2 linked regions of the Anolis sagrei genome follow. The protein of the gene in region 1 purifies or fractionates together with the protein of each later gene. This does not show direct contact. Links are inferred from orthologs where the notes say so. Each region holds a gene or a part of one and is shown in the gene's direction. Other genes may lie near its edges. The genes, in order: NRBP1 and TSC22D1.

Region 1 (9,254 bases):
ATTCCCCAGTATGAACTTTCCCTCTCCATGTTGATATCAAGCAAGAATTTGGAGTCTAGGAGAAAAATGGCACCGGTTTGGAAGCAATCCGTTGTCCTGCGGATACGGAGGCCCAATGGGTTTCTGTATCCGTGGTTCAGAGGAACGCAATTTCGGCTTCCCCGGGATGCTGAAAGAGCATAGTGGATGAGCCGGCAGCGATCTGTGGCTCGCCCAGTAGAGGCCTTTACTGCCTCTAACATTCCCCAGTACGAACTTTCCCTCTCCATGTTGATATCGAGCAAGATACTGTTGATATCGAGGAAGAATTTGGAGTCTAGGAGAAAAATGGCACCGGTTTGGAAGCAATCCGCTGACCCACAGATACGGGGACCCAATGGGTCTCTGTATCCGCGGTTTAGAGGAACGCAGTTTCGGCTTCCCCAGGATGTTGGAAGAGCATCCTGGGTGGGCCGGCAGCGATTTTTGGCTCACCCAGTAGAGGTTTTTACTGCCTCTAACATTCCCCAGTATGAACTTTCCCTCTCCATGTTGATATCGAGCAAGAATTTGGAGTCTAGGAGAAAAATGGCACCGGTTTGGAAGCAATCCATTGTCCTGCGGATACGGAGGCCCAATGGGTTTCTGTATCCGTGGTTCAGAGGAACGCAATTTCAGCTTCCCCGGGATGCTGAAAGAGCATCCTGGATGAGCCGGCAGCGATCTGTGGCTCGCCCAGTAGAGGCTTTTACTGCCTCTAACATTCCCCAGTATGAACTTTCCCTCTCCATGTTGATATTGAGCAAGAATTTGGAGTCTAGGAGAAAAATGGCACCGGTTTGGAAGCAATCCGTTGTCCTGCGGATACGGAGGCCCAATGGGTTTCTGTATCCGCAGTTCAGAGGAACGCAGTTTCGGCTTTCCCAGGATGCTGGAAGAGCATCCTGGGCGAGGCGGCAGCGATCTGTGGCTCACCCAGTAGAGGCTTTTACTGCCTCTAACATTTCCCAGTATGAAATTTCCCTCTCCATGTTGATATCGAACAAGAATTTGGAGTCTAGGAGAAAAATGGCACCAGTTTGGAAGCAATCCATTGACCCACAGATACAGGGACCCAATGGCTCTCCGTATCCGTGGTTCACAGGTACGCAGTTTCGGCTTCCCCGGAATTCTTGAAGAGCATCCTGGGCGAGCCGGCAGCGATCTGTGGCTCGCCCAGTAGAGGCTTTTACTGCCTCTAACATTTCCCAGTATGAAATTTCCCTCTCCATGTTGATATCGAGCAAGAATTTGGAGTCTAGGAGAAAAATGGCACCAGTTTGGAAGCAATCCATTGACCCACAGATACAGGGACCCAATGGCTCTCCGTATCCGTTGTTCACAGGTACGCAGTTTCGGCTTCCCCGGAATGCTTGAAGAGCATCCTGGGCGAGCCGGCAGCGATCTGTGGCTCGCCCAGTAGAGGCCTTTACTGCCTCTAACATTCCCCAGTACGAACTTTCCCTCTCCATGTTGATATCGAGCAAGATACTGTTGATATCGAGCAAGAATTTGGAGTCTAGGAGAAAAATGGCACCGGTTTGGAAGCAATCCGTTGACCCACAGATACGGGGACCCAATGGGTCTCTGTATCCGCAGTTCAGAGGAACGCAATTTCGGCTTCCCCGGGATGCTGGAAGAGCATCCTGGATGAGCCGGCAGCAATCTGTGGCTCGCCCAGTAGAGGCTTTTACTCCCTTTAACATTCCCCAGTATGAACTTTCCCTCTCCATGTTGATATCGAGCAAGATACTGTTGATATCAAGCAAGATACTGTTGATATCAAGCAAGAATTTGGAGTTTAGGAGAAAAATGGCACCAGTTTGGAAGCGATCTGTTGACCCACAGATACGGGGACCCAATGGGTCTCCGTATCTGCGGTTCAGAGGAAGGCAGTTTTGGCTTTCCCAGGATGCTGGAAGAGCATCCTGGGCGAGCCGGCAGCGATCTTTGGCTTGCCTAGTAGAGGTCTTTACTGCCTCTAACATTCCCCAGTATGAACTTTCCCTCTCCATGTTGATATCGAGCAAGATACTGTTGATATCGAGCAAGAATTTGGAGTCTAGGAGAAAAATGGCACCAGTTTGGAAGCAATCCGCTGACCCACAGATACGGGGACCCAATGGGTCTCCATATCCACGGTTCAGAGGAACGCAGTTTAAGATCCTCTATTGGGGGATTTGTTACAATGTTAGGGCAAGGGGAAGAAAGCAAAGCAGAAAAAGAGTCTCTAGTTGAAGCCGCTGCTGTGGCCACATTCCCAGCAATGCTGACCCACTTGGACATCCAGGAACTGTGGAACTCCCTGCTGCTGGTCAAATCAGTTTGAAGGCAGGGGGTGGACCCATTGCAGATAATGTGAACAGCCAGCATGGGCCTTCCCAGGCCTGGTTTAGGCCCCATCTTGGCCGGTTTTCCCATTCTTATTTATTTATTTATTTATTTATTTCCTGCATTTATTAACCGCCATTCTCAGCCCTAGGGCGACTCAGGGCGGTGTACAACACTTATTAAAAACAGTTTACAGTAAAGCACATCGAAAAAACAACATCTCACTACACATTACTATAATTACACTAAAAATGATCCGCTCCGTCTTCGTAGAATCGTAACCAAACTCGTAATCCATATTCCGTTCCAGTTGTCATTATCAGATGATGTATACTCAGTTAAATGCCTTCTCAAATAGCCATGTCTTTAGGCTCTTACGAAAAGACATAAGGGAGGGCGCCTGCCTGATGTCAACAGGGAGGGTGTTCCACAGCCAGGGGGCCACCACCGAGAAGGCCCTCTCTCTCGTCCCCGCCAGACGTGCCTGTGAGGCAGGCGGGATCGAGAGAAGGGCCTCCCCAGACGATCTCAAGGTCCTCGTGGGCTCATAGGCCGAGATGCGGTCAGACAGGTATTTTGGGCCGGAACCGTTTAGGGCTTTGTAGGATAACACCAGCACCTTAAATTGGGCCCGGTAGCATATCGGCAGCCAGTGGAGCTGGAGCAACAAGGGCGTTGTATGCTCCCTGCGCCCCGCTCCTGTTAGTAGCATGGCTGCCGTGCGCTGGACTAGCTGAAGCTTCCGGGCCGTCTTCAAGGGCAGCCCCACGTAGAGAGCGTTGCAGTAGTCAAGGCGGGATGTGACCAGAGCGTGTACCACCGTGGCCAAGTCAGACTTCCCAAGGTACGGGCGCAGCTGGCGCACGAGCCTAAGCTGTGCAAATGCTCCCCTGGTCACCGCTGAAACCTGGGGATCCAGGCTCAACGATGAGTCCAGGGTCACACCCAAGCTGCGAACCTGCGCCTTCAAGGGGAGTGCGACCCCATCCAGCACAGGCTGTAACCCTATACCCTGCTCGGCCTTGCGACTGACCAGGAGTACCTCTGTCTTGTCTGGATTCAATTTCAATTTGTTCGCCCTCATCCAGGTGACACCGCACCCCGAAACTCCGGATGATCTCCCCCAGCGGCTTCATGTAGATATTAAACAACATGGGGGACAGTATAGAGCCCTGTGGAACCCCACAAGTCAAAGGCTGTGGAGTTGAACAGGAGTCCCCCAATAACACCTTCTGGGTACGGCCCTCCAGAAATGACCGGAGCCACTGCAGAACAGTACCCCCGAGGCCCATCTCTGCAAGGCGTCCCAGAAGAATACCGTGGTCGACGGTATCGAAGGCCGCTGAGAGGTCGAGTAGCACCAACAGGGACACACTCCCCCTGTCTAGCTCCCGGCGCAGATCATCCACTAAGGCGACCAAGACCGTCTCGGTACCATGTCCCGGTCTGAAACCAGACCATCCTGGGGTGGCTAAACGACACAGACATGCGCCAAGGCCTTGCCCGACCCTTTTGGACTACACCTCCCGCCGTCGCCGCATTCCTGCTCAGCTGCGTCATCCCCACCCTTCCTTTTTCCCATTGGCTCGCCGCTGAGGACAGGCGGGCCGGAATCCAATCCAAAGGCGGGAAGAGCGTATCCTGAACGCTCATTGGTCGAGCATCGCTCCGTCCCGCCTCCTGTAGTCTGGCTGCGCGTGAGGAGAAAGAGGCGACGACTGTCACTTGGCCCATCTTAGTCATCCCCTTCAGTGTCCCGCCCCCTTTTTCTCATTGGCTCGGCGTTGAAGACAGGCATTGCCAGCCTCCAATCGGAGAGGGGGCAGCGCGTATCCTGAGTGTTCATTGGTCCAGTATCGCTCCGTCCCGCCTTCCATCTGCGTCAACCCTCCCCTTTTGCTCATTGGCTCGCCGTTGAAGACAGGCATTGCCGGTCTCCAATCCGAGAGTGGGCAGCGCGTATCCTGAGTGCTCACTGGTTCAGTATCGCTCCGTCCCGCCTTCCATCTATGTCAACCCTCCCCTTTTGCTCATTGGCTCGCCGTTGAAGACAGGCATTGCGAGGCTCCAATCCGAGAGCGGACAGCGGGTATCCTTAGCGCTCATTGGTCGAGCATCGCTCCGTCCCTCCTCCTGCAGTCCAAGGGCCCATAGTCGTCACTCCCCTCAGTGTCCCGCCCACCTTTTCTCATTGGCTCTCCGTTAAAGACAGGCAAGCCGGGCTCCAATCGGAGAGCGGGCAGCGCGCATCCTGAGTGCTCATTGGTCGATCATCGCTCCGTCCCGCCTCCTACAGTCTTGCTGCGCGTGAGGAGAAGGAGGTGGCGGCTGCCGCTTGATCCTCAGTGTCCCGCCCCCTTTTTCTCATTGGCTCTCCTTTAAAGACAGGCAAGCCGGGCTCCAATCGGAGAGCGGGCAGCGCGTATCCTGAGTGCTCATTGGTCGATCATCGCTCCGTCCCGCCTCCTACAGTCTTGCTGCGCGTGAGGAGGAGGTGGCGGCTGCCGCTTGGTCCTGAGTGTCCCGCCCCCTTTTTCTCATTGGCTCGCCGTTCAAGACAGGCAAGCCGTTGTCCAATCCGAGATCGGGGAGCGCGTATCCTAAGCGCTCATTGGTCAAGCATCGCTCCGTCCCTCCTCTTGCAGTCTAGCTGCGCGTGAGGAGAATAAGGTGGCGGCTGCCGCTTGGTCCTCAGTGTCCCGCCCCCTTTTTCTCATTGGCTCGCCCTTCAAGACAGGCAAGCCGTTGTCCAATCCGAGATCGGGCAGCGCCTATCCCGAGCGCTCATTGGTGGAGGAGCGCCGGGTTGTGCCGCCGCCTCTCCAGTGTGACTGTGCCTGAGGAGAAGGCGGAGGCGGCTGCCGCTTGGCGCTCCGGGCGCTGCTGCGGAACCGGCAAGAGTGAGGAAGCGAGGGAGTAGTGAAGCCCGCGTCTAGGAGAGCGAGAGGAGTCGTCGGGGCTGTTTCTACTCCAGCGCGGGAGGGGTTGCCAAGGTAGGCCTCACGACGTTGCTATGGTAACGGGGCAGCGGCGGGGCTCCTCCCCTTCCTGCGAGGGGGCGTGGCGGCGCGGAGGTATGACGTCACAGCGCGCCGCCGCCCTCTTCATCCTTCCTTCTCTCTCTTCTCACCGGGTTCTCTCTCTCTCTGTCTCTGTGTGTCTCAGTCTCTGTAATGTCTGACGGAGAGGCCAGAGGAGGAGGAGGCGGAGGAGGAGGAAGCGGGAATAGTAGCGGAGGAGGAGGAGGCCCCAACTCGGGCGGCGCGGAGCCCAAGGCCGAGGCCCCTCCGGCCTGCGCCCCTGCCTCTGCGGCCTCCTCGGCCTCCTCGCCCCCGGCGCCCGCCAAGGCCAAGTCCGGCGAGGAGGAGCCCGAGGAGGAGGAGGAGGAAGAGGAAGAGGAGGAGGAGAGCGAGGACGAGTCCGAGATCCTGGAGGAGTCGCCCTGCGGACGGTGGCAGAAGCGCCGAGAGGAGGTCAGCCCCCCACTGCCAGCCCGGATCACTCTTGACCTAAGCAAAAGGGAGGGGGGAAAGAAGGGGCAAGCTGGGTTTGGTCGCTTGGGGATACGGATCTTTATTATTATTATTATTATGGTATGGTTGCTGATGTCACGATAAATAGGTTGCCAGTTCGAAGCCCAGGGTCGGTGTGAGCCTCCAACTGTCAGCCCAGCTCACTGTTGACCTAAGCAGTGCAAAAACCCTAAAGGGAGGGAGGAAAGAAGGGGTTGGTCGCTTGGGGATACGGATCCGTATTATTATTATTATGGTATGGTTGCTGATGACACAATAAATAGGTTGCCAGTTCGAAGCCCAGGATCGGTGTGAGCCCCCCATTCTCAGCCCAGATCACTCTTGACCTAAGCAGTGCCAAAACCCTCAAGGGAGGGAGGAAAGAAGGGGTTCATCGCTTGGGGATACGGATTCGAAAGCTCAATCCTAGAATGGGAAGAGATTAGAGCAGGCATGGGCAAACTTGGGCCCTCCCTTTGAAAGGTTGCCAGTTCGAAGCCCGAGTCGGTGTGAGCCCCCGACTCTCAGCCCAGCTCACTGTTGACCTAAGCAGTGCCAAAACCCTAAAGGAAGGGAGGAAGGGGCAAGCAGGGGTTGGCCACTTGGGGATACGGATCTGTATTATTATTATTATTATTATTATTATCATAGAATGGGAAGAGATTAGAGCAGGCATGGGCAAACTTGGGTCTTCCCTCCGAAAGGTTGCCAGTTCGAAGCCCAGGTCGGCGTGAGCCCCCCACTGTCAGCCCAGCTCACTGTTGACCTAAGCAGTGCCAAAACCTTCAAGGGAGGGAGGAAAGAAGGGGCAAGCAGGGGTTGGTCGCTTGGGGATACAGATTTGAGAGCTCAGTCATAGAATGGGAAGAGAGTAGAACAGGCATGGGCAAACTTGGGCCTTCCCTCTGAAAGATTGCCAGTTTGAAGCCCGGGTCAGTGTGAGCCCCCGACTGTCAGCCCAGCTCACTGTTGACCTAAGCAGTTCAAAAACAGGTTAAAAACCGGGGGAGGTATTATACAACACTGTAAAACAGGGGTCCTCGAACTTTTTAAACGGAGGGCCAGGTCACAGTCCCTCAAACTCTTGGAGGGCCGGGTTAGTATTTGGAAAAAAAATTGAATGAATTCCTATGCACACTGCACATATCGTATTTGTAGTGCAAAAAACACTTAAAAACAAAAGAACAATTGAAATGGACAATTTTAACATAGAGGATGGAGTAACAGCACCCCCCTGTGGCTGGATATGAGCACCACCTCCAAGGCGCCGAAAAGCTGGAAGTCTTCTGTCCTTGTCTGGCCAAATGGCATGGAATGTTTCTCATGTATGTGTCCTGTGATCTGCCCTGAGTCCCCCTGGAGAGAGGATGGAATATAAATAAAGTGTTGTTGTTGTTGATTTGGACTCCAACTCCCACAATTCCCAAAAGCCTTAGGCCCCTTCCTTTACAGCTCCATATCTCAAACGGAAAAGACCAGAAGCTGTTAGGAATGGTGGGAGTTGAAGTCCAAAACACCTCAAGGGAGGGTCCAAGTTTGTCCAGGCCTGGTCTATATGGGCACTGTGTATATTATTTATTTATTTACTTTATGTCAAAGGAAGCATTGAATACATAAGTGTGAAAGTGAGAAAATAGAGGGGGCAACAGCAGCTAATTCGTTTTAGACCAAAAATGGACAACAGTGACCACATTGGGTTGTTGTAGGTTTTCTGGGCTATATGGCCATGTTCTAGAGGCATTTTCTCTTGATGTTTCGCCTGCATCTATGGCAAGCATCCTCAGAGGTAGTGACCACATTGTCAGTAGCTTTAAACCAGGCATGGGCAAACTTTAGCCCTCCCTCCATGTGTTTGGACTTCAACTCCCACAATTCCTAACAGCCTCATGCCCCATCCTTTACAGCCCCATATCTCAAAAGGAAAGGGCCTAAGGCTGTTAGGAATTGTGGGAGTTGAAGTCCAAAACACCTGGAGGGAGGGCTGAAGCTTGCCCATGCCTGTCTATATGAGCACTGTGTACTTTGTTTATTTATTTACGTTGTGTCCAAAGAAGCATTGCATACATAAACAGGCATTGTTTATTTATTTAATTTAGTCATACCCCTCCCTTCTCACCCTGGCGGAGGCTCAGGGTGGAGCACAACAAAGGCATAATTCGATGCCTGGAACATATAGCATAAATAAATAAATCATATTACTATAACACAGGGGTCCACAAACATTTTAAACAGAGGGCCAGGTCACAGTCCTTCAAACTGCTGGAGGGCCAGATTATAATTTGGAAAAAAAAACATGAATGAATTCCTATGCACACTGCACATATTTTATTTGTAGTGCAAAAAACACTTAAATGCAATACAATAATTAAAATGAAGAACAATTTTAACAAATAGAAATTTATTAGTATTTCAATGGGAAGTGTGGACCTGCTTTTGGCTGATGAGATAGAATTGTTGTTCTTGTTGTTGTTGTTGTGTGCTTTCAAGTCATTCCAGACTTAGGTTGACCCTGAGGGCTGGGTAAATGACCTTGGAGGGCCGCATCCGGACCCCGGGCCTTAGTTTGAGGACCCCTGCTATAACATATCAGTTAAAACAGTAATTTATACTTATCAGGTATAAAACTGATAAAATAGGAGTACAAGCAGCTAAATAATCTTAGACTAAAAATGTAGCTTTAAGGGCAGGCATGGGCAAACTTCAGCCCTCCAGATGGTTTGGAGTTTAACTCCCACAATTCCTAACAACCTGCTTGTATGTCAGGTTTAAGTTTGCCCTTCCTCTGTGCGTGAGGCAGAGCATGGTGGGCTGAACTGGATGGCCCACGAGGTCTCTTCCAACTCTATTTATTTATTTGCTATACTTGTATACCGCCGTTTCTCAGCCTAGCCGGCGACTCAACGCGGTTTACAACAACTTATAACAAACAACAGTATACAGTTTAAAAGCATAAAAACACGATCCACAATACATATATCAATAAACAATCCAATTCATCTCTTGACTAAAATCGCGATCCAGTTTCGTCATCCAAATTGCCAGTCCTTCAATCATTACACTTATTGCACTGAGTTAACCGAACGCCTGCTCGAACATCCAGGTTTTTAGTCCTTTCCGGAATACCATCAATGAGGGGGGTGATCCTACCTCCATGGGGAGGGCGTTCCATAGCCGCGGGGCCACCACAGAAAAGGCCCTGTCTCTCTTCCCCGCCAGCCGCACCTGTGAAGCAGGCGGGATAGAGAGCAGCCCCCCCCCCCCCCCGAAGATCTTAGGGTCCTGGTGGGCTGATAGGCAGAGATACGTTCGGATAGGTAGGTTGGGCCAGAACCGTTTAGAGCTTTAAAGGCCAACGCCAGCACTTTGAATTGAGCCCAGTAGCAGATCGGCAGC
Region 2 (9,106 bases), on another chromosome or scaffold:
ATTGTTGGCTTTTTAAATGGCAGAGCATTTGAGCTGCTTATGAATGATCAAAAGGATCTTTGCCAACTCTTCTGTACTTCTCTCAATCCTGGTCTTGGGCATCCTAGTTTCATACACATTTGGTTGAAAGCAAATCGATCAATACACACAAGGTTGTGGCACACTGTGAGGCCTAATTGCTGTGGTTTTAATTACTAAACAGAGACAAAAAAAAAAGATACACCATTGACAGTTCCCTCCATGACGAACAAGGCAGCTGACCTTAAGCATGCATGGGCCAAGCAGTAAAAGCTGCATGATAATTTAAACATGCTCTTCATCTATTTTGCAATTCACCCCAGGTTAAGTAGACAAACTTTGGCAGTTGACCATATCACAGTGGAAAAGAAAGTCACCTGGTCTCTTTTATCTTTGTATTATGCATTTTTCCCAAGGGCTGGGGAAGGGCATCCTCTTTATTTCAAGGGGGACAACTTGTAAGTAGGAAAAGGCCAACATTAGATAGGCTAAGCCTCTTGGGGTTGGAGAGAGCATCTTGTGCAGGCCTGAGCTAAACTCTTGTTTTGTAAAATAAATGATAATTTGGCAAATGGGTTGACTAATGAAATAAAAGGTGTCTTTTGGGTTGACATTGAATAATAGAGTTGGAAGAGACCACGTGGGCCATCTAGTGCATGGGCCATGCAAGCAAAGCACAATCAAAGCATACTACTATGCTTTGATTGTGCTACTGATCATGTAATACCATACATACATTTTTATTATGGTCCAAAGACCCTTATTATACGGTAGCATACAAGTTATACAGTTAATGGGATTAAGAACATCCAGTTGGATGCAAACAATAAAAACTGCTTAAAATACATGTTGGCTAAAAACACAGGTAAAAGACTATAAAAAGTGCTGGTATGTTTCAGCCTGTGTCTAAAATAAGGAATTGTCTAATTCTGGCTGCCTCAGAAAGAAACATGGCATTTCAGGTTTACCTCCAATGTTTGGCCATATGTTGTAATTCATGGCAAACTGGTGAATAGGATCCTAAAACTGCTTCAGACCTGGGTTGACACTGATGCAATAAAGTGCTAGCACTGTGGCCACAATAATGGGTGAATCCATGTTGTGATTTGGGGATGTTGTAGAATCATAGAAGCAGATGGTGAAAACAGAAGAACGGCCTGCCTCAGGGGAGTGTGCTTGTTCCATCAATGCTCAGCATTTACACAAATGACCAGCCATTGCTACAAGGGACACAGAGTTTAATCTATGCTGACAATCGTGCCACCACCGCTCAAGCAGGGAGCTTTGAAATGGTTGAACGGAAGCTCTCCAAAGCTCTATGTGCTCTTACTGCCTATTACGGGAAAAAACAGCTGATTCCTAATCCATCTAAAATGCAGATGTGTGCTTTCATCTTAAGAACAGACAAGCACCTCGAGATCTGAGGATAACCTGGGAAGGAATCCCATTAGAGCACTGCAGCACACCCAAATACCTGGGAGTTGCTCTGGACCATACTCTGACTTATGAGAAGCACTGCTTGAATATCAAGCAAAAAGTGGGTGCTAGAAATAATATAATATGAAAGCTGACTGGCACAACCTGGGGATCACAACCAGATACAGTGAAGACATCTGCCGTTGCACTTTCCTACTCTGCTGCTGAGTATGCATGCCCAGTGTGGAACACATCTCATCACGTTAAAACAGTGGATATGGCTCTTAATGAGACATGCCACATTATCACAGGATGTCTACGCCCTACATCACTGGAGAAGTTATATTGTTTAGCCAGTATTGCACCACTTGACATCTGCTGGGAAGTAGCAGCCAGCAATGAAAGGACCAAGCATGGACATCTCTGGACCATCCCCTGTTCAGATATCAGCCAGCAAGCCAACGCCTTAAATCAAGGAATAGCTTTCTGAGATCGACATAAAACTCAGAACTTCAACCAGTGGGTGATACAGGATGAGAAATTTCCTCCTGGGCAGACAGAAGACTGGGTGACTTGGAAGGTTCTGGACAGACTGCGCCTTGGCACCATGAGATACAGAGCCAAGCCTAAGAAATAGGGCTACAAAGTGGAGTCCATGATATGCAAGTGTGGAGAAGAGCAGACCACCTACTACCATGCAATCTGAGTCCTGCCACATGCACAATTGAGGACCTTCTTATAGAAACACCAAGTGGCCAGCTATTGGTTAAAGGAAATCTATCATAATGCGAAGTTTTTAACTTTGTGTCTTTTAAATACATTATAATCGTACTGCTTCTGAAAATATAAATAGAATCATAGCGTTGAAAGAGACCACATCAGCCATATAGTTCAACCTTCTGCCATGCAGGAAAATCACAATCAAAGCACTCCTGAGAGATGACCACCCAGCCTGTTTAAAAGCCTCCAAGGAAGAAGCTTCCACCACACTATGAGGTAGTATTCAAAAAGAAAGTCATACAAGGCAAATGTGGGTGCTTCTTCTAGGTGTCCCTTCCCATACATTCCCAACCTGAACCAATGGGTGACTTAAAACTAGAGTAACCTCTCTTTCTTGAACTAGTGCAGAATTGTGACTTTGTAGAAGATCAAACCATTCCATACACCCAGAAATAAAGCCCGACTGCTCACTGTGTTGTCGAGCAATTTAGAATGGTTGTGGATAGTGAGATCCAAGCCATTGCGGGTTTAGCCTGGTGAGAAAGAGAAGCCAGTATTCTAGAATAAATCTCACTAAATTGAAGAGAAGCCACCGAAGTTTATTTTCTATTCCAGCTGGAAATGATGATGACTGCAGTAATCTGCCAAACAAGCTGACATGTTTGCTAGGCAGGTAAATACAGAATATATAGTTTTCCATTCAATTTTCACCGCACCCATCCCAAGCCAGCTTCGTTGTGATTGGCTGTGACGTCAGCGAGCCAGGAGGAGATCCAATGAGGGCCTTGGTCCTGCTTTGGCCGCTCAGCCAATGAGGTGGAAGGGAGGTGGGCAACAGGGAAAAATGAAGAAATGACTAGGTGACTGGATAACAAATGACTGGTGTTTGCCAAGCGATAGCTTTAGGCTGTCCAGCCTGGCCAGGGTTATTGTCCCGATCTTTGAATTAACATTTCTGTCTGGACCCGAGAGGCCAGGTCCACTGTCTTATTGTCCTGCAATATTGGTTTCACTGATGAAGTTGAGATTGGTTTCAGAGATTGGGATTTGACACAGCAGGGGAGGCAGCGACAATCCCTGGTTCTTTGCAGATGGGGAGATGTCCTTTGTGTTGAGTGATTCAGTATATCCATAGACTCCATTGTTCTGGATGGCCTGGCCATCGGGCCCTCTGAGTTCCAGAAAAGGGAACCATTTACGTATTGTATTGTCCATGCAAATGGGTTTTGGTCAAGTCCTTTCTTTGGGGATTATTGGCTCAGGAAGTTTGGAGATTCCTATTATTATTATAACTTTATTTGTACCCCGCTAGCATCTCCCGCAGGACTCGATGCGGCTTACATAGGCCTAGGCCTCAAAACACAACATAACAATACACAACCTAAAGCAAATTCTAAAGCAAAGTGCTTCTAGGACTTTATAGAACTAAGATTACTGCACACCGCACACACTTTATAATCCTACATACCTCCTGCCACATCAGCACTTTTAATCTTGTACCCATTTTCTGGCCTGGCCCAGTTTTATATTGTCTTGATGTTTTGATGTATTGTTATTGCTGTTGTTTATTTCTGCTTAACTGTTTTAATTTGCACTAGGTATTGTACTGTTGTATTGTGTTTTGAGGCCTAGGCCTATGTAAGCCGCATCGAGTCCTGCGGGGGATGCTAGCGGGGTACAAATAAAGTTATAATAATAATAATAATAATAATAGGAATCTCCAAACTTCCTGAGCCAATAATCCCCAAAGAAAGGACTTGACCAAAACCTAGAGCAATGGCTACTCAGTGCTTTTCTGAATTTTTATGAACTCTCATGAACTTTTTAGGAACTTTTATGGACTTTTTGCCAACTTTCATGAACTTTAATAGACTGTAATGAATTCCCCTTGGATTCCTAGAGCAATGAGTTGCTGGCATAGTTCATGTAAAGGTCACTTTGCTTCATAATTTCTTACATAGCCATACATACAATGAATGGGGCATACCCAGAATTCATAGGGGAAGGGGAAGGCATGCAGGGTCCAAGGGGAATTAATTTCAGTCATCCCGAAGTCTATTAAAGTTCATGAAAGTTGGCAAAAAGTCCATAAAAGTTCCTAAAAAGTTCATGAGAGTTCATAAAAATTCAGAAAAGCACTGAGTAGCCAAAGTCCATTCATAAAAACAGGAGGAGCGATAGGGGATTATGGGATCATTCCAGCCTTGTGTCCTTGGCAAAACTATGAATTCCCTGGTTTTGAACTATCTTTTACAGAGTCTTGGGGGGGAGGGCATCACCTCTGATTACAACTGGAGGGAAGGATATTAGAGGCGAAGATGAAGTCCTTTGGCCACATCATGAGAAGAAAGGAAAGCTTAAAGAAGACAATGATGCTGGGGAAAATGGAAGGAAAAAGGAAGAGGGGCCGAACAAGGGCAAGATGGATGGACGGTATCTTTGAAGTGACTGGATTGACCTTGAAGGAGCTGGGGATTAATCTATGTGTGTTTAAGGGGCCATTAGACTCTTTTGTGCAAAGCAAGGCCGAGAAGGTGTCTGGAATATTCTGAAAGTTTTCGGTGTATTTTCAGAACCAGCCACTAGCAGGAGGGAAGGGAGAAGCAAGATGGCCTGCCTGCCTGCCTGCCATGTATCGCACGCGCCAGCCTGCGGGCCGAAGAGGAGGAGGAGGCGGCGAAAGTGAAGAGGCGCGCAGGCCTGGCTGTCTCCCTGGTCGCCAAACAAGCCTTGCTCTGTCCTCAGTGCCATCTCTGAGGGGCCAGGATGGGGAAAGGCGCCCTTACGCACTCCCCGGCGAGGCTAAAGCGGCAGCACTTCCCGTCCTCAGGGGGAAGAAGGGGGGCTCCCTCCCTCCCCCTCCCCCTCCCCCCGTCGCCGCCTCACGGCTGTCTGTGAGTGACGTTCAGGACCCGCTAAGCCCCGCCCCTTCTGGCCCTCTTATATGGGAGTTGTTCACGGCCCCCTCCCCCGCTGTGACTGACAGGCGCTCCTCCAATCAGCTCCCGGTTCCGTCGCGCACATGGCAACCGGTGTCCGGCAAAGCAGGAAGAAAGCCCGCCCCTTCCGCGATACGGAGGGGAAGGGGGGGACACACATAACGCTTCAGCCCGGTGCTTCGTTGGAGGCGCGTGACCCTGGCAGAAGCGGCGAGGAGTGTGGCCCCGCCGCCATTTCAGGAAAGGGCAACGCCCTCAGGCTCCCTCTTCCCCCGCCCCTCGCTGGCGAACGAGCACCCGAGCCAGGCCCCGCCCCCTCCCTCACCCTCACCCGCCTCGGGCATTTCCGCCGCTGGAGCCGAAGCTCTTCGCCCGCCGCCTGCCTCGCGCCAGACGAGTCCTTTATGTCTGCGTCCGCGCTGCGCCTGCGCCGCCAGCGCCATTTTTTTTTGCCGCCTCCGCCTCCCTCCCCCCGTTTCTGACTGACTCTGGAGCAGGGAAACCGCGAGCGAAGGGAGGAAGGGGCTGAGAGGAGGGAGAGAGAGAGAGAGAGAAGGCTCGCTGAGAGGAAGAGGAGGAGGCGGCGGCGCAGAGAGAGAGAGAGAGAGAGGGAGGAGGCAGGAGCGGCTGTGGGGCTGCGCCAGGCTCTCTTCCCCTCGTGCCTCCCCGCCCTCGGTGGGAGTCATGCCCCGCGCCGCGCGCTCCTCTTGCTGCTGCTGAGGAGTTGCTCTTGATGGGGAGGCGCCAGCGGGACTGCCGTAGGTACCTTCCGCCCAGGGCCCCTCCTCCTCCCCCCTCTCCCCTTCCCGGGAGGCTCCGCTCGGGGGCTTTCCCTGCTTCGGGGCGGCTCCTCGCCCCTTTCCCTCCTTCTCTCCTTCCCTCCCCCCCTTGGCGAGCCAGCTGCTCTGAACCGGGAACCTTAGGCGGGGAGAGGAGGAGGGGAGGGGAGTGCATGGCCGGGGCCTGAGAGGCGGCAGGGGCCTGGGCGCGCGCGCCTGAGAGAGAGAGAGCGCGAGGGAGAGGGAGTAGTGCGTGGCGTGTCGCGCGCCTCCCTCCCTCCCTCCGCCCGCCATTCTGGGGAAGCGAGCTCCTTAAAATAGCCCTTGTCGTCCAATGCACCACCACCAGCCTGACTCAGCGGCAGACAGTCCTAGTGGGGGGAGGAAGATGGCGCACCCGGCGATGCTCCCTCGGAGGGGGAGCGGCAGCAGTAGCAGCAGCGGCGTCGCCGTGGTGGGGCCGGCCCTAGAAGACCTCCCGCCCCCGCTGCTCCTCCAGCCACCGCCTGCCGCCGCCGCATCCTCCTCTGCCTCCCCTGCTGGGCCGCAGGGGCCCCCGCCCCCTCCGCCACCGCAGAGCCTGTCGCTGCCCTCCCAGCCCGGGGCCCCTCCGGTGCCGATGCCTCTCCCTCCGGCGGGGCAGGCCGGGGCCCAGATGAAGAAGAAGAGCGGCTTCCAGATCACCAGCGTGACCCCGGCCCAGATCTCCGCCAGCCTCAGCTCCAACAACAGCATCGCCGAGGACACCGAGAGCTACGACGACCTGGATGAGTCCCACACCGAGGACCTCTCCTCCTCTGAGATCCTCGACGTCTCCCTGTCCCGGGCCACAGACCTGGGCGAGCCTGAGCGCAGCTCCTCTGAAGAGACGCTGAACAACTTCCAAGAGGCCGAAAGCCCCGGGGCCGTCTCCCCCAACCAGCCGGGCCTCCCCCAGCAGCAGCAGCACCCCCCTCCGGCCTTGCCTCATGCACCCCAGCAGCAGGGCATGGCGATGAACGGGAGCGTTCACCCGCCTCACGGACACCATTTCCACCACCACCATCACCACCACCATCATGGGCATCACCACTCCTCGCATTCTGGGGCAGCTGGCCCAGTCGCCCCATCCAGCCCATCCTTTCGGAAGCTCTCTGCAGCTGGGAGCACTGATGGGGCCTCTGCCACAGTGGCGTCTGTGCCTATTTCTGCTGCATCATCCACTGGGACACCTGCAGCCACCACCGTCTCTCATTTCCGTGCTGCTGGAGTTCCTTCTGCTGCTACCAGCACATTTGGTGGTGTGGCCAGTGGCGGGCCTAGCATGGTGAGCGGCGTGCCTGGTCATATGCATAAGAATCTCAGTAACATCCCAAGTACAGGTGGGGGAACCCCTCTGCCTGGAGCAAGCAGCAGCGTGAACGTGGCTGTCCTGAGTGGGGTCAGCAATGGCACGAGTGCTTCCTCCGGTAACTCTAGCAATCCAGTTGCCGGAGCAGCACCTAGTCACCTGCAGCCCGCAGCCAGCACCTCGAGGTTTAGAGTGGTGAAACTGGATTCTAGTTCAGAGCCTTTCAAGAAAGGCAGGTGGACATGCACAGAGTTCTATGACAAAGAGAACCCTGTCTCCCTCGCGGAAGGAGTAGCTGCAGTCAACAAAGCCGTAGACACTCTGAAACAAAACCCTCTCGAAGGGACTTCTGAAAGGGAGAGTACCAGTGGGAGCTCAGTGAGCAGCAACGTAAGCACGTTGAGTCACTATACGGAAAGCGTGGGAAGCGGAGAGATGGGAGCACCTACTGTGATGGTGCAGCAGCAGCAGGCATTTCAAGGGGCTGTTTCTCAGCAAGTGGATTTTGGCGCCACTGGCCCTCAAGCTGTGCCAGCTCCCAGTATGCCCCAGAGCATTTCCCAGTCACAGCTTGCACAAGCACAGCTTCATCCTCAGGATGTGAATTATTCTCAGCTACAGCAAGGGGTCCAGCCCACTCCCTCAGCTGTTCCTCCTCCTGTGAATATCGTTGGTGGCCATCCGCAGCCTGCTATGGCACCGGCACAGCAGCTGCCATACACCCAACAATCATCCCAACCTGTGCAGGCTGTTCCAGTTGTGCCGCAATCACACCAGTTGCCGTACGGGCAAGGACAGGCACAGCACCCTCCACCACCTCAGCAGATGCCCATGCAGATGGCCCCAGGGCACATTCAGCCAGTGAATCAAAACTCTGTTACAGGATCTGTGCCAGATTACATGCAGCAGCAGCAACAACAACAACAGATGGTGCAAACCCCAGCTTCTTCTATGCAGACTGGTCCTCCAGTGGTGGGAACAGGTACGCCTGTCCCTGTTGCTCAGGCCCCAAGTGTGCAGCCTTCAGTACAAGCACACTTGGCAGTGGCATCCTCTCAGCCTGTTGCCCATGCCCAGACAACAATGCAGACCATTGGAGCTAGTGCTCAGATGATGAATGTTGGTCCACAAGCAAGTGTACCTCCTGTGGTGCAGCAGCCACCGCCTCCTGTTACAAACCAAATTACCCCTCCAGTGATGGCACAAAGTACTGCTCCTCCACCTTCTCAAGCCGTGCCCCCTGTTGCAGCAGGGATGATTCATCCAGGGCAGCAAGGCAGCACATCAAGCCTTGCTCAGCCATTGGTGATTGCACCACAGAGTACCCTACTCCAAGCATCAGAATCTCTTGCTCAAGGACTTGCTGGTCAGCTGCCCCCTGTGAGCCCGATACCTTCTGTTAGTGCTGTCCCTGCCCCAGGCCACCCTGCTGCCAATGTGTCCCCTGCTCCGATGAGTTTGGCTGCTTCAAAGAACATAGCACAGTCTTCTGGTGTGCAGAATGGGAACTTGGTTCAAAATGTGTCCCAGCCTTCGTTAATGTCAACTAGCATCAATTTGCCTATAGCTCCAAATTTGTCTGCACAGATACCACTGAACTCTGCCCAGTTTTCTGCACAGTCTCTTGCCCATGCAGTTGCGTCCCGTGCTGAAGAGGCCAGGCGCTCTACAGAACCCACCTTGATTGGCTTACCCCAACTTATCAGCGGTGAAGGCGGAGGAAGTACATCCTCGTCCATTTCAGATGGAGGCAGCAGCATGGCATCCTCTCTTTTCCCCTTGAAGGTACTTCCATTGACATCGCAGCTGGTTGATGGTGAGGATGAGAGGTAAGATCAGGCCAAAGGGGAAAAAGTGATATGTTGTAAACTGCTCTTATTGATTCATTGTCAAACAAATATAGT

The links.
Region 2: the proteins of NRBP1 (region 1) and TSC22D1 purify together in Homo sapiens (affinity purification with mass spectrometry; 6 studies listed by BioGRID and IntAct, with this or other methods). This does not show direct contact. The link is inferred for Anolis sagrei from reciprocal best matches to the Homo sapiens genes NRBP1 and TSC22D1.

Annotation. Positions count from the first base shown.
Region 1 is NC_090021.1:1,052,045-1,061,298, forward strand, and holds the start of NRBP1 (nuclear receptor-binding protein), read left to right. Parts: upstream 1-5,012; 5' UTR 5,013-5,342; intron 5,343-5,436; exon of another isoform or gene 5,437-5,514; 5' UTR 5,515-5,522; coding exon 5,523-5,822; intron 5,823-9,254. UniProt on the Homo sapiens protein: Required for embryonic development. Plays a role in intestinal epithelial cell fate and proliferation, thereby involved in the architectural development of the intestine potentially via the regulation of Wnt-responsive genes.
Region 2 is NC_090023.1:144,370,207-144,379,312, forward strand, and holds the start of TSC22D1 (TSC22 domain family protein 1), read left to right. Parts: upstream 1-5,288; 5' UTR 5,289-6,206; coding exon 6,207-9,031; intron 9,032-9,106. UniProt on the Homo sapiens protein: Transcriptional repressor. Acts on the C-type natriuretic peptide (CNP) promoter. Acts to promote CASP3-mediated apoptosis.